Astyanax mexicanus: one gene and its partner. The protein of the gene in region 1 purifies or fractionates together with the protein of each later gene. This does not show direct contact. Links are inferred from orthologs where the notes say so. Each region holds a gene or a part of one and is shown on either strand. Other genes may lie near its edges.

What was found.
Region 2: the proteins of exoc6b (region 1) and exoc3 purify together in Homo sapiens (affinity purification with mass spectrometry; 3 studies listed by BioGRID and IntAct, counting the BioPlex papers as one, with this or other methods). This does not show direct contact. The link is inferred for Astyanax mexicanus from reciprocal best matches to the Homo sapiens genes EXOC6B and EXOC3.

Annotation. Positions count from the first base shown.
Region 1 is NC_064415.1:24,545,042-24,556,726, reverse strand, and holds the start of exoc6b (exocyst complex component 6B), read right to left. Parts: upstream 4,703-11,685; 5' UTR 4,563-4,702; coding exon 4,474-4,562; intron 1-4,473. Other genes in the region: badb (BCL2 associated agonist of cell death b), read left to right, coding at 6,709-6,781, 9,699-9,842, 10,988-11,190. UniProt on the Homo sapiens protein: Component of the exocyst complex involved in the docking of exocytic vesicles with fusion sites on the plasma membrane.
Region 2 is NC_064411.1:51,608,332-51,620,293, reverse strand, and holds the start of exoc3 (exocyst complex component 3), read right to left. Parts: upstream 6,109-11,962; 5' UTR 5,957-6,108; intron 4,336-5,956; 5' UTR 4,318-4,335; coding exon 4,174-4,317; intron 4,038-4,173; coding exon 3,818-4,037; intron 2,055-3,817; coding exon 1,373-2,054; intron 1-1,372. Other genes in the region: ahrrb (aryl-hydrocarbon receptor repressor b), read right to left, coding at 9,403-10,396, 11,531-11,715. UniProt on the Homo sapiens protein: Component of the exocyst complex involved in the docking of exocytic vesicles with fusion sites on the plasma membrane.

The DNA of each region.
Region 1 (11,685 bases):
AACCCAGGTATCGAACACATAGTGGCCAAACAGCTTGCTGAGCCCAGGTACTGAACCCATAGGGACATTGCTCAAGGGGCAAACAGTGGCAGTTTTCTGAGCCCAGGTATTAAACCCATAAGGGCCAAACAGTGACAGCTTCCTGAGCCCAGGTATCAAACCCATAAATGCCTTGCTCAATGGCCAAACAGTAACAGCTTGCAGAACCCAGGTATTAAACCCATAACCTTGTTATTGATGGCCAGATGCGCTAACCTGAGCCATGATTGCCCCTAAAAAACATCTGGGTAAAAACTCAGAATCCTAAAACAGAATCCTAACTGCTAGACCATATGGGACATTGAGGTGAACAAGGGTGTGGATTTAATAAAGTGGGCAGTGAGCAAATTTAGAAGTCATCATAACAGTTCTTCTCCAGGCTGGGATACAGAAGAAAAAAAAACTGAAGTTCTGCGAGTTCCTGTGAGTTCCTGTGAACATACTGGAAAGTCTAAAAAGAGAAGAAACAGTAGACTGGGAGAGCTGACTCACAGCACCGCTAACAGAGCATGAACTGGACTGTCTTTCTCCAACTCCAGCCTTTGCAGCCTTCAACACAAGCAACAGAATCGGGATGAACTCGAACACACATACTCAGACACAGCTCTTATCACTTACTGCGTAATTGTGTTAGGGTGTAAATGGGAATGGCGTGTGTGGCGTGTATATTTAATGTCCGAGACTCCAGAGGCCGTGTGTTTGTTAAAGGATGGAGAAAAACAAAGCATGAGACCTTACAAATCAGCAGGAAACAATGGCTGACTTCAAAAGACAAACATAGTATCAAATGAGGTGAAACACAGCGCTCTATTACTGACTGCATTGTACACTGAGCATAAACAAACACACAACATCCTGACTGCTGCTAACACAGAACTGCAATAAACATAACCATAACTCCTGCATATAGTTTATGATAACAAGCTACATAACAAGCAGCATGTAATGGTATAGTTTAAAGGAAATTAAGAGTATTTCATGCATTGTTTTTAAGAGAGTAAATTAGTATTAAAGAGTATATGACTAGGGGAAAATACTGAATCAGATTTTTGTAAGAGTTATTTTTTCTTCAGTTTCATTATCACTAGCATAACAGGATATATCAGATAAGTCCAGCTAAAAACAAGTGGAACTATCACTACAAACACCACAAACTTTGCTGTATAAAGGCCAATTTATTTTTCCATGCGCATTTCTTTGGTATGCATCCTGCATGCACTTCACAATATATCGTTTGAGTGATATAGTCATATCACAAGTTTCCCATTACTTTTTTGCAACATAGAGAACATGGAAATCATCATATAAGGCAAAAAAAACTCTGACAAAAAAATATCTGACACAAAAAGTTAAATAATCTGTATTGGAATAAAAAAATCAAATTTAAGGCTCTTTATCATCATCTTAATTTTTCATGACAGATATCAAAATCAGATTAAATTTGATTACTGCAATCTTTGATTCATGGAGTGCAACTTTAATACAACGACATGTTAAATCATTGACGTCTGAAGAAATCTGGTAAAAATTCTTTTTAATGATTAAGTAAGAAATCTTGCTTTATTTAACATCCCTCATCTTTGCTAAATGAACCCTGCCCCAGCACTATGAGCACCTCTCTCAACATCACACTCTGACTGAAACTGTAAATGAGAACAGCAGCAAAAGCTGCTAATCTCAGCAGCCTTCAACAGCTGACACCTGACACATGCTCAGTCACGGCTGGCTCAGCTTTTATCAGCCACAGGCTCAAACTCAAAAAAGAAAACATACACACACCCCTCCTTGTCTGTACAGCAGTGAAAAGCTTAGAAAGAGGAAAAAAAGAAAGGCAGTCAAACAGAGCATGAAAAAGAGAGAATTTACAGAAATTAGTAGGGGAAGGGTTGTGGTGTTCAATACAAATAAGCATTCCAAAAGAGTTTAGTAATTGGGCATCAAAACAGGACCATGAACCATATATTTAAAGTATAAATGCTGATCTGGGCCATCTTATCTGGAAATTAATATATAATTACACTTATTCTGTAAAATACAATAGCAATAACAATAAAAACGCTTTATCACATAGGTCCAGTTGGGTAATATGAGAAAGAAACACTGATATAAGATATCAACATGGTACAGGACTCAATGATCAAGTTGCCCTGGATTATGTTGTTAAAATAAATGGTTAGTATATTCATTATTGTGCTCCTTTAATTATGAAGACTATACTTGGTTAAGTGTCATCCCTCTGGAAACCAAACAATTCACACAAACATCCCAGTAGTATCCATATTACTATATGATTTTAGAATCTAGAATAAAATAAGTTCAGAATAAAATGAGATTTAAATTACCCAGCTCTAAAGGGCAAACAAATTACCACATTAATTACCTCTGTTACAAACAGTTACCACAGAGACAGAATTTAGACCATGACTATCATCCGACTGCATGTCAGTCACTCTACATGAGTCAGAGCATGAGGCTGTTATCAGCGTATACCACACACAGACACACATACACACTATCACACAAGCAAGCAACTCTCTCAGCACACTCCCTTTAACTAATATTAGCCACAACTTCTCGCCAGTGTATGAATATTCCACTATGCCATTGTTTGTACCCTTCACTCTTACACACACATTAAATAACCATCAGTTGCAGGGCAACCAAAGCTAAATACGCATTATGCCAAACAGCTGCTATGTAAAGGATATATAGGCTAAAGATACATATAGCAACATATAATGTCTAATCAAGATATACTGTGCTTTATATCAAGGAAAAATTACCCTTATATAGCCCTGGATTGTATGTTAGCTATACAATACTAGGGTGAATCTAGTGGCAGGCGATACCATGTTTAAAAAAATCATAGTAGCTATTATACACAGAGGATAGTTTGCATTCATCAAGTTAATGTGTACTGATATTCTTCCATAAATCTAATACATGAAAAAATGTTTTTTCATTACTCCTGTAAGAAATAACATAAAAAAGACAGAAACATTATTTTTAAGCTTCTGCAATATTCTCTAAAAATGACAGATGTGAAGTGAAGAACTAAATGCTTTTTGCTGGTTGTCAAAAAGGCAAATGGTCATTTATGGTCATGTTTTGCCTTACAATCAATAAATATTGACAGCTATGAGCCACATGAGTAGCTAATAAGTATCTATAGTTACAAATTACCTTTTGCAGTTATGTTACATAGGTTAGCTAGCATATTTGCATATTATCCTAAATTGACAAAAAAAAGAATATTTTGTCGAAACAAACTAAATATTCACCTAAGCAAATGCCCATTTAAACGTTTATTTGGCATAGAATGAATAAATATTGACAGATATTAGCCACACGAGTAGCTAGAAAGAAAAACTTAATATAAATTCTTGCTACAGAAAAATATAATATTTCTATGGTGCTGGACAGTGATTTTATACTAGAATTTAATACAACAAAATAAATTTACTTCATGTAGCTAGTTAGCTACATGACGTAGCTACCTAACATTAAAGTAGTATTAAAACAATCTGTAATATTTGTCTAAAAACATCAAAAACATACATTCAGTGTTTATAACAGAGACAGTTGGGTTAACTAAGTTACTTACTACTAAAGGAAAGGATAACGTAGGCTAGGGAACCAACCTATGTAAGAATGAATCACTGAATGGTTCAGTAGGAAACAAGCACTCACTGTCTATAACAGATAAAAGTAACTAACTAGCCAGCTAACCTAATAGGAAAGGATAACCTACGATAGCTGGGTTAGGTAACTATGTAAGAATTAATCAATGAACAGTAAATGTTAGCTAGCGATAGTGTAGTTAGCTAGCTAGCTAAACTATAGAAATGAATCACTAAACAGTGAATGGACTCGGTTCAGTTCCCAAATCATAACATAAACCTAATGAGCTGCAGAACTTCTACAGAAAGTCACACTGCTTTAACAATACGTGCTCCCCAAATAAGCTGGCATTATTGGCCAAGTTAGTTAACTTAGCTAGCTTAACATAAACATTTTGAAACTAGACCCTTTAACCTAAGCTACCACTCCTACCAACACCGAACTTCAAAGTGCTGTAGTTAGATATCTTTCTGGCTCAACGGTCAGTCCAAATCTCAGTGTACTAATAGTGTGTTAGGTAGTAAGGGTCTAAGTTGTAAAGGCGTGTGAGGTGAATACTAAAGGCAGGGTGTGTGTCTGTGTGCAGGGGGGCTCTGGCTGAAGCACTGCTAACACTGAGAGAGGAGAGCTACTTAGCACGCTAGCAGGATGACAAGTTGGGGGAAGATTGTTTGGAAGTCTCTCCAAAGAGTTACAGAGAGAAGAGGAAGAGAGACAGAGTGAGAGAGACAGCGCTCTCTTCAAGGACTTCCCTCCGGCCGGTAAATCCACCAGCGACCCACACAACATCCCGCCCGTTCAGCCACAGCTTACCGGAGTGTTGGACCGATACAGTTGGTGTCTGTGCTCTCGATCTCCCGCTGGATCCTCTCGTGCTCCGCCGCGATCTCTGCGCTCGCCATCTTCACTAACGGCGCTCAGCTGCGTCACCTGAACCAACACACACACACACACACACAGCCCCGCAGGAAAAAAAACACCTACTACTTCCGGTATTAAGTTGGGCGAATTTAGGAGAACTCTGTAGTAGATACACAAACAGACACAGCTGTATTAATATTTATACTCTATTACATGCACTAAAAATAATGGAGATGTTTTTTTTTCATACCCTATTAAGTATGATAGCTAGTTAACTAGTATGCGGCCGCGTCCTAAACCACATACTTCCATTCTGACTAGTGTGTAAATATAGACTTTCCCACAGCAGGAATAGTGCAGTGTGTGGATTTGGACGCAGCCAAAGCCATTAGCTAAGTTATCTAGTTTAAAAAAAAAAAAAGCTTTATTTTCAAATTTAAATATTTCAAACACATTTTTATTTTATATTACGGTTAATGTTCGCACATTTTGTAATATGTTTAAATGAAACACACTACAATCATAACTTTAGTAAAAAATAAATACATTAGCAGAAATTGAATTTAATTTTACATTTGAGTTTAATTCTATGGGTTAGTTTTGCTTTTTTCAATGTTTAAACATTTCACACACGATAAAGAAAAGTAACTTATTTGATTAAAGTACTTTTACTTTAAACATATGGGGTATGCTGTAGAGGAATTTACTGGAGTAAATCTCATTGAGAAAGATAAAGCTGTAACTGGCCATGCTCTGTGAGCTTTACTGACATCTAGTGCTTGAACAGCTCCAAGGTGAATTAGCAATGTACCGGTATGTATTTTATAGTTACATTAATTAATCTGACTAAATGTAACATTTATTATTCTCCAAGTAATTTGCAGTGTTTTTTGTATAAAATATGCAGCCATGGGTTTTAGGTTTAACTTTTTAGCATTTCTCATGCTGCAGCCACATTCTGCACTTCACTGGAGGAATCTGAATGAAGATAGGACTGGACAACATATTGTAAATATCTTTTTTCACTGTTTAAACAAATCACACGCAATACAGTAAAATGACTTTCAGTACATACCTTGATAAAAGGGCATTTTATTTCTCTTCTTTTACCTCTACCATATAAGGGATGCTGGGAATTCGCTGGATCTCATTGAGAAAGATAAAGCTGTAACTGGCCATGCTCTGTGAGCTTTACTGACATCTAGTGTTTGAACAGTATGTACCGGTATGTATTTTATTGTTACATTAATTCATATGACTAAATGTAACATTTATTATTCTCCAAGTATTTTTTGCAGTTTTTTTATTTTTATAAAATATGCAGCCATGGATTTTAGTTTAAACTTTCTAGTATTTCTCATGCTGCAGCAACATGCTTTACTTTACTGGAGGAATCTGAATGGGGATAGGACTGGACAACATATTGTTAATAAAAATATGTATTAAAAAAACTATTTTATACAAGATATAAATGACTGTATTTGTATTATCACACATGCTATCCATATTAACAACTATGTGTGATTTAATTACAAAATATAACGTGCATGGGTCATCGGTGTGGCACTCAACAGAGGACAGTTTTGTACAAATTACGTTGTATAAAAGTCATAATCAAAGGAGCAGCATGATAATCTAGTGCAGTGTGTTGAGTCGGTGAAATACCATAAAGATCAGATTTGTCTTGTGTTTGTTATTACTTGCGGTTTTTAAGGCTAGTAACTTATCTTGTGCAACAGAGGTAAGTTTTTAAAATGTTTCTTTATAGTCTGGATGACTTTAGTATTGATCTACATTGCAGAAAAGTATAAAATAATGAAAAAACGCGGAATTTAAGGTGAACGGTACTGTATTTTATTAAATGCATTTTTGTAAATGGTATATTTTCCCTAATTATTTGAATCCCATTGTCTTCTGTAAATTCCATGTATTATATATGTACATGTTCCAATCTTATATATTTTCCACATGATTTAAATGCAGTAAAGGCCCTGCAATGTGTTTCCCTGGACATTTATGTCCTCTATTGCTTATGTACTTCAGCATTTGTAAGTCTCTTTGAGTAAAAGCGTGCGTTAAATGAAATGTACTGTAAATGTAAAGTAAAGCGCTGATTGGTCGGAGAAGAGTGTGAGTGGTGGAGTGAAACTCTCAGGAACACAAACACAGCAGCAGCGGCTGGACTGAATGTCCACAGCGGCGAGAGCGGCGGCGGCGGGGACCTGCGACTCCACTGCTGTCAGCCAGCCGTCCAAACTCGGTAAGGGACAGAGTGTCTGACTCATATAAACGCTTGAGGAGTCCGTTTAGTCTTACAACCTTTATAACTCAAGTTAGTAAGATATACAACCTGAAGTTACTTAGCTAAGCGAGAGAGCTAGCAGTCAGCCTGACTGACCTTTATAATGGGCTAGGTTAGCTAACTAGCTAAATAGTTAGTGCTAGCAAACCAGCAGCTCTATTGAGAAAGTTAGCCTTAGTTTACTCAGTTAGCTACTGTAGAACTAACCTCAGCTTAGCTATTAAGTTAGTTTAATGGACTTGTTTTGAGTGTGATGTAGCTAAGCTAAGCTAGCCAACTATGGTTTCTTTCAACGCCTAGCTAAACATAGCTAACGATAACTAAGGTAATTAGCGTGTCAGCTAAGCGGAAGTGGCTAACCGCAGATAAGCATCAACAACAACAGTGTAGTTAGCTAGAGTAGCTAACCTAACTATAGTTAACTGGCTGGCTAACGATACTCGATAATTTTCTACTTGCATTCTGCATAGTGACAATAGGCTTGTTTATGTGCCCTAGAAAGTCCTATTCTATTGGCATATTATATGCTGGGACTAGACAAGCTTAGTGTGTGTATATATTGTGTCAGTAGTGGGTAACGATACAACTTAAAGAAGCCGAAGCCATTTAATAGAATAAACGTGTGTGTATACATACATGCATACATACAGCTCTGGATACAATTAAGAGACCATTTCCGTTTCTGAATCAGTTTCTATAATTTTGCTGTTTATAGATATATGTTTGAGTAAAATGAACATTATTGTTTTATTCTATAAACTACGGACAATATTTCTCCCAAATGTCAAATAAAAATTTTGTCATTTAGAGCATTTATTTGCAGAAAATGAAAAATGCCCAGAAAACAAGTTCATATTCATAACGTTAATAGTTTAGAAATCAATATTTGCTGGAATAACCCTGTTTTTTAATCCTCTTTTTTTCATGCCTCTTGGCATTTTTTCCTCCACCAGTCTTACACACTGCTTTTGGATAACTTAATTCCACTCCTGGTGCAAAACGTCAAGCAGTTTAGATTGGTTTGATAGCTGTGATCATCCATTAATTTGGTAAAATCAAAGAAATGTATAATTTTTAAGTGGTCTCTTTATTTTTTTCCAGAGCTACACACACACACACTGAACAAAACTATAAATACACTTTTGGTTTTGCTCCCATTTTATTTAAGCTGAACTCAAAGATCTACGTTATTCCTATGTTCGCCTTTTTTCTGTCAAATTTTGTTCACATTCGGGTCTAAATCTGTACTAGTGAGCACTTCTTCTTTGCTGAGGTAAACCATTCACCAGTCACAGGTGTGGCATATCAAGATGCTGATTAGAGACATTGATTATTACATAGGTGTACCTTGAGCTAGCCACAATAAAAGACCACTCTAAAATGTGCAGTTTTACAGTAATATGTGAATCTGGGGGATTCAAAAAACCAGTCAGTACCCGGTGTGCTTCACAATTTGCTTCTCGCAGTACAACACATCACCTTTGTATAGAGTTGATCAGGTTGTGTCCTGAGGAACGTTTGTCCACTTCTCTTCAGTGGCTGTGTAAAGTTGCTGAATATTGGTAGGAACTAGAACATAACCCAGACATGCTCAATGGGTGACATGTCTGGTGAGTATGCTGGTCACGCAATAACTGGGATGTTTTTCAGGAACATGCTTCCAGGAACTGGGTACAGATCCTTGCAACATGAGGCCGTGCATTATCATGCTGCAACATGAGGTTATGCAGCTGTGTTCATTGTCCTTTACGTACGCCCTGGCCTGCCCATACCATAACACCACCACCACCATGGGCCACTCGATTCACAACATTGACATCAACAAACCATTAACCCACACAAAGCCATACACAGTCTGTCAAAAATATTCAATTTATGGGCAACAGCTCTGGTGGACATTCCTGCAGTGAGCATGCTAATTGCATGCTCCCTCACTGATGATTTCACTCATATCACCATTATTTATGAGTGATTTATAAATCATAAGAATTCACACGTGCTTACACAGTGCGAGGAGGAGTAAAAAACCTCAATTTCCCTCACTCAGTTTAACACAGTATTTGATGCACAATTTACAGAATAAACAAATGAATAGAGAACACACATTCATACACAGTGTCATACACAGATTTCCTTTGTCGTGGAGAGGAGGTGATGATAACTTATTTTACATAGCTTGTCACTTGTCACTAGTTGATATTACAATAAAGGCTCCATAAAAACATTACTATAATCAAATCAATAGGCTAAACCTGTGGTGAAGAATATTGTTTGTTAAATTCTGTGACACCAATAAATCCATAATTCCTGGTATTTGCTTATTTAGGAGTATTTATCCTCTTCAGGAGCACAGATGCTGTTAAGTATTGTACAGAAAATTGTCTTGCAACATTTTGATTTTCGCTAAATCACAGTATCGTGGTATCATATCGCAAGATACCCTGTGATTACCACCCTTAATACTGACACTGACTGATAGTGGAGTTAGTGTGTGTTGCACTGGTACGAGTTGATCAGACGCAGCAGTGCTGCTGGAATTTCTAAACACTTCATGTGTCAGTGCTGGGCTAAAAAATAGGCCACCAATAGCATCTTGTTATCAGCGTCCTGTGACCTCTGATAAAGGACTATGCTTGAAAGTTCCAAACATGGGATGCTGTTGCTTCTGTATATTGTGTGTATATTTAGTGTATGTATATTTAGTTTTGTATATCTAGTGCTATGCTTTTGTAGAGTTACTACCTGAGCCTCACAACAAGGGCATTTTAGGGCATAAATATGGATGCAGACCAACAGGAAAAACCTTGAAGTTTCAGGCAGGATTATTTATGATTGTGGTTTCTAGTGTTGAAATTCTGTTTTGTTTTTCTTATAGATTTCACAATGGATCACATGTTCACAATATCTGATGAGTCAGATGCATCTGAAGAGCTAGGAGACTCAGACCAGCCAGAGGTCAGTAAGACAGCTGAGCCATCGCGGTCTGGGCAGCACATCACTGTTCCGGAGAAACTCAGAGGTGAGTCAGTGTCTAGGTTAGGGCCTGTGGGAAGTGTACAGGAGCATTCGCTCATTATGTCAGCTACTCCGTATCCAGGCTGCACACACAAAGCACCACAGTCCCTACTGAAAAACAAATGATCTGTTTTTGTAAGCAGTGATTCACCTGTGTAGACAGGTAAGATATTGTGTTAGACAATTCCTGTACAAACACTCTATTGCTTAATTTATGACCTTCGCTCACTTATGAAACTTTTTCTTATTGAAAGACTTTTAAACTGCAAAATTGGTATACTTTATATCTATTTCACATTGCATAAAAGGAAATTACTTATACACTTGCTTTACACTAGCATCCAATATTTGTTATTCTTTTGAGCATAATGTGTTATTGATTACATTTATATTTATGACATTTGGCAGATGCTCTTATCTAGACTATCCAAAGCTAGTATCAACAGATGCCAAATTCAAGATACCTGTGAGCTCTAACACTACTGGAAATGAGCCACACAATAACCCTATTGCTAACAATGCATAGTTCCTGGAATTTGAATATAGAGAAGAATAAACCTGAGCGCAATAAATATTATAAAAGATGTTAAAATATAATTTTTATAGCGCATTATCAAGTGGCCCTGAACAAGGTGGGCCTTCAGTTGATGTTTTAAGGCATTTGGGTTTTGATGATTACTGAAAGAAAACCTCATGTCCTCACATAATAAGTAATTTTTACATTTTACATTAATACGATTAATGCTTTTACATTCATGTTTAATAAATGATAAATTATTCTTTTCTTAATCCTAAATAATATTTTGTAATGCTTTTATATTTACTTTTTATAATGCAAACGTATAGAAATATAGGCATTGTCTGCAATATTTGTTTGGGTATAACTTATAAAATTTGAGACATTTCCTTATAAGTTTGAAAATCATTAATTATGTAAAGTGTAAACTGCTAGTGTGTGTTTGGTATTTACAGGTTTAAGACATTTTTTTAATGCTAAAGTTAAAGAAAAAAGTTAGGTTTCTCTCCACAAACAGAAAAGCGATCTTAAACTTTTGCAATTCGTATTACAGTGGGCTTTTAGTGAGTGATAATTAAATTATATATATACATTATGTGAGAGTATGTGTTCTTTTTTGTTATTGGTCGTAGTAGAGCCCAGGCAAAGGAATTTTTCTATGAATGAAGAGGCTCTGCAGGAGTCTGGTGCTGGGAGACACGAAGATGGAGCTGGAGATGGAGATTCATTCCGACGCCGCAGCCGCTCAGCTCCCCCTTCTCTGTGGGCAGCCAAGAAATATGGCCGACAGCTGAGGAAGATGAGTGACGAGTTTGACAAGGGGCTAGAGCAAGGGGTGAGAAAAGCTTAGTGCTCTTGCTTTGTCCAGAAGAGTTATTTCCTTACTTTAACACATTTAAAGTAAGGTGGCATATAGGAGATTTCCATTACACTGATAGAATAGAATAGAATTGTCCTGTATGTTGCTTTCATGCAAAAACCTCAAAATCTTAAATCCCCCAAAATGGCTCATTTACAAGAGAGGGACAAAAACTTCTTAATTTGCCCATTTATCATACCATTTTGACACTTGCTGTTAAAGTATAATTGCACCAAACCATTATTTTTACCCAGTATTGGGACTCAGTGGCACAATGTAAAGAACTACTGGATCCGATTATGTCCACAATGACATCAAATGATTTGTCCTGTTTCAATCTGGGATAATGTGTTGAAAACTAATGTGTTGAATACTAATTAAAATACATTGTGATAATAGCAGTATTCTCTCTTGAAAGAAGTCTGTTATTTACTAAGAAGCTTAAGGGGTATTTTTATTGTTTATGTTAAG
Region 2 (11,962 bases), on another chromosome or scaffold:
GTAAGCTCAGTTCTCAAGAAGGTTAACTTGATTTTGTATTATTAAGATGTGTTTTATATGAATAAATAAGTGTCTCTTTATTCTCGTGCTAATCTATAAAGAAATAATAATTTACACACGTATAGCAGTTATTTTAACAGCACATTCTCTTAGATGTTTATACTGTATACTTTATATTACTGTATACTTTATACTTTATATTTATGTGTGCTAAAATAGGGGTGGGACAATATATCAATTCAATATATTGAGCAATACAAAATATCGCTATATCCTCCAATTTTCATTTGCGATACATTATTATGTGACATTTACATCAGTAAAGCTATTCTAATCATACATTGACCACAGCAGTCTAATTTTTCTTCATTGAATGTTCGCTAGAAGATCTATTTTAATCATAAATTCACTTCAGCAGTGCAAGTTTAGTCTTGAATTTACCCAAGAAGAGATATTCTAAATCATAAATTTACCTCAGCAGAACAAATTTACTCATGAATTTACCAAAGAAAAGCTATTTTAAATAATACAGTTGAATTAGCAGAACAATTCTATTTATGAATTGACCTAAGAAGAGCTATATTAACTATAATTTTACCTCAGCAGTGCTGTACGTCACGTTCACCCCAGTAGTGCAATTTTAGTCATGAGTTTACCTAAGTAGAGCTATTTTTATCGTAAATTTACCTCAGTACAACAATTTTAGTGATGAATTTACCTAAGAAGACCTATTTTAAATCCTAAAGTCACTTCAGCAGGGTAGAGACATTTTAATCTAAAACTAACCTGAGAAGAACATTTTTAGTGATAATTTACCCAAGTAGAGCTATTTATCATAAATTTACCTCAGCAGAACAATTTTAGTAATGAATTTACCTACGTAGAGCTATTTTAATCATACATTTAACTCTTAAGTCTTAAATTTACCTGAATAGAGCAATATTAATCATAAGTTTACCTCAGCAGTGCAATTCTGTGAAAATGACACCAATAAATCCATAACTCCTGGTATTAGCTTATTAAGGCGTATCTTCAGTAACACAGACGCTGTTAAGTATTACATAAATTCAGTAATATTTTGAGTATCGCAGAATCATAGTATCATATCATCATCCTTATCATAGGCAATGTATTGCGATAACATCATATCATAAGATGCCTTGTGTTTTTATGTTTTAACATCAATGACTAATCAACTCTACTAATCTGATTTATTGTTGCAAAAACCTGTTTTCTATCACACTACGCCTCATATGAGTGTTAAAATACCTCTGGTAAGTGCCGAGGAACAATTTTATTCATGAATTTACCAAACAAGAGGTGTTTTAATAATAAATTTATATGAGTGTCATTAATATGAATGTCAAAATACCTCTGGTAAGTGTTGAGGACCCAGGTTAGAAGTGACACGATCTCATTAGCCTCCAGATCCTCTGCAGCGAGCTCCTGAATCCGTGCCGACAGCGCCCGGTGGTAGAGGTCAAAGAAGAGCTGGAAGGTGTTGTAGTGTGGAGGGAAGCACTGCACCATCATGTTCTTCACCACGATCAGGTCGTCCAGAACGTACTTGCGCGTGAGCTCCAGCAGCCGCACCAGCCACATCTTATCCGAGTCCCGCGTCTCCGACTGGGTGCTCTCGATGCGGCCGCTGACCGTGCCCTCCAGAACCTGGTTCATGCGGCTCTTCCAGCATTTGGGCCGGCCGGGGGGAATGAATCCCGTCTGCTTCTTGCGGTCCAGCATGCGCCGGTCCACCTTCTCCTCGCGCTCGATGATGCGCACCACGGACACGAGCATGGTGGGGTCGCGGCGCACTGTGACCAGCGCCCGCTGCAGCACCATCCACAGCTGCTTGGCCAGCTCGTCGGAGAGGCCCTGCACCTGGCCGAAGTAGGCGCGGATCAGGTTCATGTCGTGGGTGTTCTTGCTGTCCATGCGGTACTGCTCGTACATCAGATCGTCGCGGGAACACTCCAGATCGATCAGTCTGCGGTGAGCCTGCAGGAGCTCGCCCTGCTCGATCAGATCATGGGTCTCACGCACGATTTCTGGAACTGTTGAAGAAGAGAGAGAGTGAAATTTAGTAGGGATTACGCCTGTCCCGATAGGATTTTTTTTTGTGGGTGATATATTGTCCCAGAAATTATTGCGATAAACCATATGTCACTGATATAATGATAATTGAATATCAACACAAAAAAAATCATAATAATTATACCCTTTTAAAGAAAACAAAATTTTATTCATCATAGTTTGAGAAATAAAGATTTTTCTTCACCTACTGCAGGCCACACTTTTTGTATGGAGTCTCAGTTATTGAAGCATGGGTCTGGTATTGCTGTCTAAAATACTCTTCAGTGTTATATATGTGAACAAACATATAAATAAACACAATAGACGATACCACGATATCAAATATTATTAAGTTCAAGTCCATTTATTGCGACAGGCCTAGTAGATATGCATCGAAATAGAGCTATTTTAATAATAAATTTACCTCAGCAGTACAATTTTAGTCCTGGATTTACCTAAGTATAGCTATTTTATTCATTCATTTTCCACAGCAGTGCAATTTTAGCCATGAATTAATCTAAGTAGAGATATTTAAAGCATAGATTTAGTCATGAATTTTACCCAAGTAAAACTATTTTAATCAAATTTTCCTCAGCAGTACAATTTTAGTCCTGGATTTACCAAAGTATAGCTATTTTAAATCATACACTTAACTAAACAGAGCTATTTTAATCATAATATTACATCAGCAGTATAATTTTAGTCATGAATTTACATAAGTACAGCTATTTTAAATCATATATTTACCTCAGCAGTACAATTTAAGTGATACATTTACCTACATGTGATCATTTAATCATATGCCTAACTAAGTAGAGCTATTTAAAGCATATATTTACCTCAGTCATACAATTTGAGTCATGAATTTACCCAAAAAGCACTATTTTACATTACATTACATTGCATTTGGCAGATGCTTTTGTCCAAAGCGACTGACAATAGTGAAGTACAAAAGTAATAGAAGTTAAAGGTAAAAACATCTTTAGATAGGACCTAAAGGAGGTCAAAGGGAAATAATGGGATAGAGGAGTGAAGGAGGGGAAGAAGGAAATGAGGTTAGAAGTAGTTAGTGTGTTAGAGGTGTTAGGAGAGTAAGTGCTCTTTGAAGAGCTCTGTCTTCAGGAGTTTATTAAAGATAGTGAGAGATTCTCCTGGTCTGGTAGTGGAAGGTAGTTAGTTAGAGGTGTTAGGAGAGTAAGTGCTCTTTGAAGAGCTCTGTCTTCAGGAGTTTCTTACAGATAGCTATTTAAATCAAATTTACCTCAGCGGTACAATTTCAGTCATGCATTTATCCAAGCAGAGCCATTTTAATCATAATTTTACCAGAGCAATACAATTTAACTTTTGAATTTACCTTACCTAAGTCAGAACTTTACGTATGTAGAGCTTTTAAAACATACATTTACCACAGCAGTGCAATTTCAGTCATGAATTTACCTAAGTAGAGCTATTTAATCATAAATTTAGCAGAGCAGTGCAATTTTAGTCATACATTTACTTAAGTCAGCATAGATATTCTAACCCAAAAATGCCTTTACCTTAGCAGTGCTGCTCAAGTGACATGTGAGCAAAATTTACACTGAGAAAGACAAACAGTTTTTTACTAATAACTAACAAATAAATGCTAAGGCTAAGTTACCTCAGCTAACGTTATCACTCTAGCCCCGTAGAGCTTAAATCTTTCAGCTGGAAAAAACAGTCAGTTTACAAAGATAGAAGAACACAAACAAACAACAACTCATACCTGAGAAGATGTTCTTGAGATTTTCCACTGCAGAGGCCAGCTGACTGTGCTGGACCACAGCATCCTTAACATCCTTCAGGTTCTCGATGGTGTTGATGCTCTGCCTCCAGTCCTTGCTGACGTCTGCTAACGAGTTCTGGATGTCCTTCACATCACACAGAGCGTTGTGCAGCTGAGTGAGGCCTGTTCGAACTCCGTCCAACTGGGACTGGATTGCAGCCTGTAGGACAAAGGGAAAGACACTGTTATACATTTACACACAACAACGACAATTATAAATATATTTAATAAAGGCTCGTAATGCAGTAAACACTCTCACTGCAGTTGATATATAACAAAGGCACTGATAAACTTACTTTAAGTCTGGCCTCTACAGATCCTTTCTTTCGTGCCTCTCTTCGTCTGTACTGCTCAACTTTATCCAGTTGATCTGATCGCTGGATCATCCCCGCCACCCTCTGCACCGCTGTGGCAACGGCCTCTCTATTCGTCTCCTCCATAATGGCAACCTGCACACACTGTAAAAATAAAAATAAAAAAATAAATAAAAACATGCTTCGTCAGTTATATTAAAACCAAATACTGTGCACATCGGCAAACCCTTTAAATTAACTTTGGTCAATTTTCTAATAATTTTTTAAGTAGATTCTTTTTACAGTAGATTTTTTTATATGTGAATAGTGCAGATAGCTGGGTTAATGAACAGATAACTCTTTTTCTGGCAACTTTATCGCTCTAGTCCGAATTCTATATATTCAGTCCCAGATCCACAGTACAGAAGACAGCACAAGCAAGAATGAGAGAGAGAGAGAGAGAGAGAGAGAGAGAGACAATGATAGCGAGAGGGAGAGCGAGAGAGAGAGAGAGGTGGGGAGACACAGTAGCCTAAACCTTAAATCCCAGCAGTAGAGCTATTTTAATCATACATTTACATCAGCAGTACAATGCAAGTCACAAATTTATCTAAGTAGATCTATTTTAATCATAAAACTACCTCAGCAGAGCTACTCAAGACTCATATAAGTGAAATTTACACAAAGAAAGAAGCCCTTTTGCTGGACAAATAAAAGCTAAGGCTAGGTTACCTCAGGTAACTTTACCATCCTAGGCCTATACAGGCTAATAATGCGAGCAAGTTGAGGAGACACAGCGGTCTAAACTTTAAACCCAGATTTTATCAGGCGATTATTTTAGAAAGGTGTCAGTTTGTTTCTAAAAGTTATACATGGGTGTCTAGTCTCTCTGTAAATTTTAAAGTACCAGTCAAAAGTTTGGACACACCTAAAATTCAGTATTTTTTCATTATTTTAACATTTGCTGCACGGTAGATAAATACTGTCATCCAAACTATAAAGAGAAAAACATATGGAATTATTTAGTAAAGAAAACATAAAACAAACAAACCAGAATATGTTTTATAATATTAAATATAGATTATTCAAAGTAGCACCTCTTGCTTTGATGACAGCTTTGCACATCTTGGCTGGATTTTCTTATTCAGCTTTATAAGGCAGTCTTTCATTTAACAGCTGTGCTGAACTCGTCAAAAGTTAATTACTTGAATTTCTTGCCCCTTAATGTTAGTTTAAGAGCATCAGTTGTGAAGAGGTAGAGTTGGCATGACATAAGATTATGATGAAACTGGCACTTATAAGGACCAGGAAAGGACAAGCCTCAGCCTCAGAAACCACAAGTTAACAGTCCCCCAGATAAGAGTAGAGTATTTTGGTTTGTTGAACACTTTTAAGTTAACGTTACTACATGATTTCTTATGTGTTCCTTCATAGTCTGGACAACTTCAGTATTCATTTACAATGTAGGAAAAAGACTGGTATGTTCCCATTCCTGAAAAACAATAAATGACTGTTTAACAGCGGGTTTTAACGTATTTTGAGCAGGTTTGAGGTGGACAGAGCTGCACCCACTAGCTAACAAGCTTAGCTAGCTAAACTGAACAGATATATACATCTATTTACATAAACATATAGCTTAGCTGCAGCTGCTAACGCTACATAAACACTAAAGCTAACAGGCTAAGGTAAGCTAACTCTTTAGCCTGGGCACAAACAGCTCCTGGCACCGGTTTCTGAGCGCGTTCTCCGCTTATTTAAGGTGAAATACGGTGTAACAAATGTTTACCCGGGCTCAGCTGGTGTTCCTAAAGGCTCCCGCTCAGTGTTTTCTGCATTAATATCATATTATTCTAATTATCTGGCGTTATTTTCCTCTTACTGCGGCGCTCAGTCTTCCTGGTCGCTGCGCCGCCCAACCCCGCATATGCCCATAGAGACAGGCACGGCTGCGCAGGATTTGCGCAGAAAGGAGCAGGGTCAGCCATAAGCCAGATCAGGACCAGGTGAAAAAATCAATTAATAAAAAAAGAAATTAATGAATTAAAATATATAATAAATATATATAAATAAATAATAAAAAAATATAAAATCATAATAACGTTCATAACGCAATTAATAATAATAATAATAATAATAATAATAATAATAATAATAATAACCACAATGATGATGATAATAATAATACTAATTCACAAAAATGACATTACAAATAATGTTAATAACCAAAATGTTAATGTTAATGACACTTGAACATATATATATATATATATATATATATATATATATATATATATATATATATATATATATATTAGTTTAGCTTATCATTACTTTTACTATTTTTTTTAAACATTAATAATAATCATATATTTGTTAATATTAATAATATTAACACTAAAAATAATGTTAATAACACTATTAACACTACTTCTACTACTACTACTATTAATAATAATAATAATAATAATAATAATAATAATAATAATAATAATAATAATGTATTACTATCCAGTTAGTAATGTTAGGAGTTGAATCTTAACATTAGTCAACAAGTAAACAGTCAGGTCTGGCAGTTGATAGTAAAGAACATTGAATAAACCTGCTTTTTTGGTTGCATTACATCTGTTAAGATTGATGATGGAAAAACAACAAATTTTGAACTTTTAAACTTAAAACCTAGTGATCATTAATTTTATTTAATGATGTATTAAATTAAAACTGTACTTTAAGTAAACAATTAGCTAATTTTAAAGGAAACACTAGTCATGACCTAAGGGTTAGAGAACGTTGCTGATTTGAGTGTGTGGGCGCATTGTCACTGATATTAAAAGTAAAATGGTTAGATGTAGAGTTTGAATCCTGCAGTACAGTAGTGATAAAGTGTGATTAATACTGCTGCAATTATTCCCGTCAATAACTGTAGAAATAAATATATAATAAACACATTTTTCACAATTTTCCTGCATGCCTAAAATAAGACAAGACTCTTTTCTAGGGACAATGCAATATTTTACTTACATTTCAAAAATACAAACACAAAAATACGACTTTCAGTGATTGCTGCTCAGCAGCTAAATCGTGTATAAAAGAGGTTGTGAACCATATTCAAAATATACTGCAAAATGAGTTTGTTGAAATCATTAAAGAAAATACATACCATAGAATCCATTACTTATAATATTCACTATTCATTTAGACTACAAAAATGACAGAACTGACAGAAGGGAATTAACAGTCTGTAAACAGGTAAACAACACAGATAGACCACAGATAAATGTGCCTGTAAACTCAGCAATATTTGTTATGAAAAGGATATAGCTGCAAAATTATAACGGTTTATGTTTTATGTTGATATATATATTTTTTTATTGTTAATCTGACAAGTGTAAACACACAGCATATGTTTCAGACAGCAACTTAAACCTCTGCAAGCTATTCATTCCAAAACACAGTGCATAATTAACAACTTATTATAACAAATAATCAACATATATTCTAAAACACAAAACAGCCCCCGCCCCATTAAATTCCCTTTATTTATACATTGTGCATGATTAAAAATCATAAAACATGATACATATCACCTGTATTAAAGCCAGTTGGGATGAAGACCAACATGTAATCTTTATTTAAAGAAAACAGTACATTTATGTAATTTTTGTGGCATTTAAGAGTTATTTGCATTACATACAAATAAAAAAAAACATTGAATATACATATATTTAAAATAAATTTCCACATCATTGTAAAAGTGCTAAAATATAGAACTTCCCCTCAAAACCAGTGCTACTATGAGACCTGCATCTGCAAAGGGAGGGGTAAACCTGAGCTTCAAAAGGAATACTTCAGCATTTTTTTAACCTAATCTCTCTCTGCTGCGTCTGTAGCACAGATTCAACTGAATAGACAACTATTACATTGTGATTCCTGCTACTATGTAAAAAAGAGACTCAAAACAGACTTTCTCTTTTCTGATCTCTCTTTTTTCTGAGGTCTTAATAGTCTCATCTTGACTTGACCAAAGTTCCCCTGAACTGTAATTTCTCATTTTCTATTTTCTAGAGAATGAGACAGAAAGGACAGAAAAGAAGTTTATTGTACCGTATTTTTTGCACTATAAGGCACACTTACAATTCTTTAAAATCGTCAGTGTGTCTTATAATCCGGTGCGCCTTATGTATGAATTTTACCAGTCAGGCTGTAAGGAGCAGTAAAGCCACTCTGCTGAAATGCAGCAATATACAGGAGTTTCAGTTTATTTCTTCAGCAGTATTAGCATTAGCAGCAAACTGCGCTAGCTCTTTTGCCGTTCAGAGGTGAGTATTATCGGCCTGTAGCCTGCTGCTAACCCCGGTAAGCTTTATAATCCGGTGCTCCTTGTTTTTGGAAATAGACCAGAAAATAGACATTTATTAATAGTGTGCCCCCCAATATGGTGTGCTTTTTAGTGCGGTAATAATACAGTAAGTGTCTGATGGATGTTACATAGTCTGATGTTGCAAGTAGCAGGCTGGCAGCTGACCATATCTACGCCTGATGTTTTAAGTAAAAAATCAAGGTCAACCTCTAAGGCAAAACTGGTCTGATGTGAATCTATTGTATTAGGTGCAAATTGATCCAATCTGAATTTGATGACAAAAGCAGCAATTGGCCCAATCTGAGTCTGACATGAGCATAATGTTCTACAATAAAATTAAGAAAATTGTGTCCCAACTCCCAATTTACAACTCAAATAGAAAATTGGCCCAATCTGGTTCTATGCTCCTATAAAAATGTACATAGATGGAAGTAAAATACAGCCTAATCTGAGCCTGATATTGAGAGTGAAAATTGTCCCGAAAATGAACCCAAGGAGGACACGATATTGTTAGTTTAAAAGCAGCCTGACAAACCATATGTTAAAATCATTATATCAAAATCACTTGTTAAAATCATTATATCAAAAATTGCCTCAAATAAATTTCATAAGTAAAAAATCTTAAGTTTGAGCCTGATGAAATGAAATTGTCCAAATCAGGCCAATACAAATTGCAAACCAGAAAAACCCAGCAAGTCCCTGTTCCAAAGTGATGCACTGACAAAATGACCACCAAGACACCAAGTCATTAGTGCGATTTAGACTCTTTACATAGAGATTAGGTTAAAAAACAGTGGAGTATTCCTTTAATCCATCACTAACTACAAAGACATAAGACATATCTGACCGTAAAGTACCACAGATCAGTTCAGACATCATTGCATAAACAAATAGGGATTGGCTTTGTGCGTGATTGCGTTCATTTGTGTACAGTTCGCCACATTTCTGTCTGCATGTGCCTGGCTGGGATCGTGGCTGCTTTCAGGCCAGGGTGGAGAGTCCATGGGCTCCCGTTTGATGGAGTGGAGAAGACTGTGGCTCCTGAACTCATAGCTCAGCTTGTAGTCTGGCTGGGCGAAGACTTTGGGCTCAGTAGATCCATTTAGGTAGGCGTGTCCATCGAGGCAGTGTGCTTGGTTGCCTAGAGGGTCAGAATGGGCGCCATCTTTGTTGAGGGCACATTTTAAAGGCTTGCTGGGACCTGCATAGAGATACCGTTGGTGGCCGTTAAGCGTTGGGCTGATACCAGCCAATTTGCCACCGCTTTGGTTGCATGGGCTACAGTGGTTGTAGTAGTTTCCTTCGTTTTTTACCAGATGGCTATCGTTGAAGGTCATGCCATAGCGCCAAACCCCGTTGTGGGGCATGGTGGTGTACCTACTGCAGCCGTTCTCTGAATCTGAGTCCTGCTCTGTTTTAATGGCGGTCTCTGGCAGCAGGAGACCACCGTAACAGTCATTATGTGCCATGTACCTGCCCTCAGTCTTGCCATTGCCACAGTACCCGTCCCTTTCGCTGTGTCCGTAAGGTTTGGCCTGTGATCCCATTGGTGTGAGGCCTGGAGAAGTGCGGAATTTGCCAGATTGTGCGTGTTTGCTTAACTTGCTAGAAAAATAACCAGTAGGACCTATTCGAGTATCCCATGGACTTTCTGTAGCATGTACTCTGGGGACCCCCACGGAAGACAGGCAGAAGTCGAGGGGCTCGTCCTGGCTGTAGTAGCTTTCGGTCCTGTAGGGGACGCCTTCTTTGGCAAGGGCAGCCCATGGACTGCTGTGGCAGGGGTCTCTGGAGGACGTGGTGGTCCAGTTGAGCAACAGCATGTCCCCAGGGTCAGTGGAGCTACGAGACATACGGTACTTCTTCTCGCTATGAACAAAAAAAAAAAAGAAAGTGAAAATGTAGAAAAATCAGCTATAACTTTAAAAACCACTAATGACTAGTGAATATCTCATTTCAATTGCATCTGATCTGATCCCATCATGTGGGACCCACATGATAAAAAGATATGCCAAAAGTCATGCAAACTGATCATGAAGTGATAAACCAAGAAACGACTTAGGAACACCCACATCTGTACAAGTTGTGAGGTTTTATCTTGCGAGAGAAGTTCAACCTTTGCCTTAATTATGGAGGTTAATGCGAGGCCAGATAGTAGGTGCCAGCTGAACCAGAAATGTAACATTTTTTGAACAGTGGACAGCTTTATAATCCGATGTGCCTTATGTATGAATTCTACCAGTCAGATTGTAAGGCCCTGGAGTATCATCAGCATTACCCGCTAATCATGTTAAGCTCTAGCTTTTTAGCTGTTCAGAAATAAGAATTATTACTGGCTAGCACTGTTGGAGCAGCATTAGCGTTAACCGCTAACCGCACTAAGCACTAGTTAGCTCTTTTAGCTGTGTGTTTACCATGTTAAAACAAGCTATGTGGGAGAAACTGCTAGCTAATATCGGCCTGGCTTACCGGAGCCAGTGTAGCGCAGTCGGGTGGCATTAGGCACTAACCGCTAGCAGTTAGTCGCTACTGCTAATGCACCAGCCTTAGTGCTGGAGAAATTTGGGTATCTTAGCTTATTGTAAATAAACAAAAGCGTTTTACTTATACAAATAAACTGTTTTTAGGAGAGAAATTTTGTGTGGATTAACATCCAGCATTCATTTGACTTTAAAAGAAAGGTTTTTTTTTTTAAAGAATTATAGTTTTGTTTACTTAGCTTAGCTTTACTTAACTTAGTTAACTACACCCACCTAGTGGCGAGACCTGCTGAATTAAAAGTGAAACATGGTGACACCCCTGTTCCTTACTAGTGTTGCATAATGCACCTTATAATCCAGTGCGCCTTATGTATTAAAATAGACCAGAAAACAGACATTTATTGACAGTGTGCCTTATAATTAAGTGCATTCGGTACCTTATAGTGTAAAAAATCTGTTAAGTGAGCTGTGAAACCCTCCCAATTCAGTAAGAAGTAAACTGCAGTAAATCTGAGGAATGAACCTGCTGCTGGAGCCTTTCTGCTTGCTCTTTATCATCATGTTCTTCATCTTGAGCTCGGTGATAGATGGCACAACGAGTGGTACAGCCACGCAGAACAGAGCCAGCTGAGGGGGCAGCAGATTGCCCGACTCGCTCTTCCTCTTCTGACCATGCAGGAACTTCAGACTGCCCTGGAACTGCATGCTCTGAAAGAGATAAAACGAGTGTGTTTTATATCTTGTCTATGAGAAACATACCCGTCAAGTTTTGCATTTAAAAACAAGGGAAATTTCCTACTGCCCACTTCGAGTCGTACTATCAGCCAAACCCAGGTTCAGTATCATAGTATCATGATATAGTTTTATTAATTGATATTATTATATTAATTATATATATATATATATATATTAATATATAGTATTTTTATTTTAATGTCATTTTGTCGAATCAATG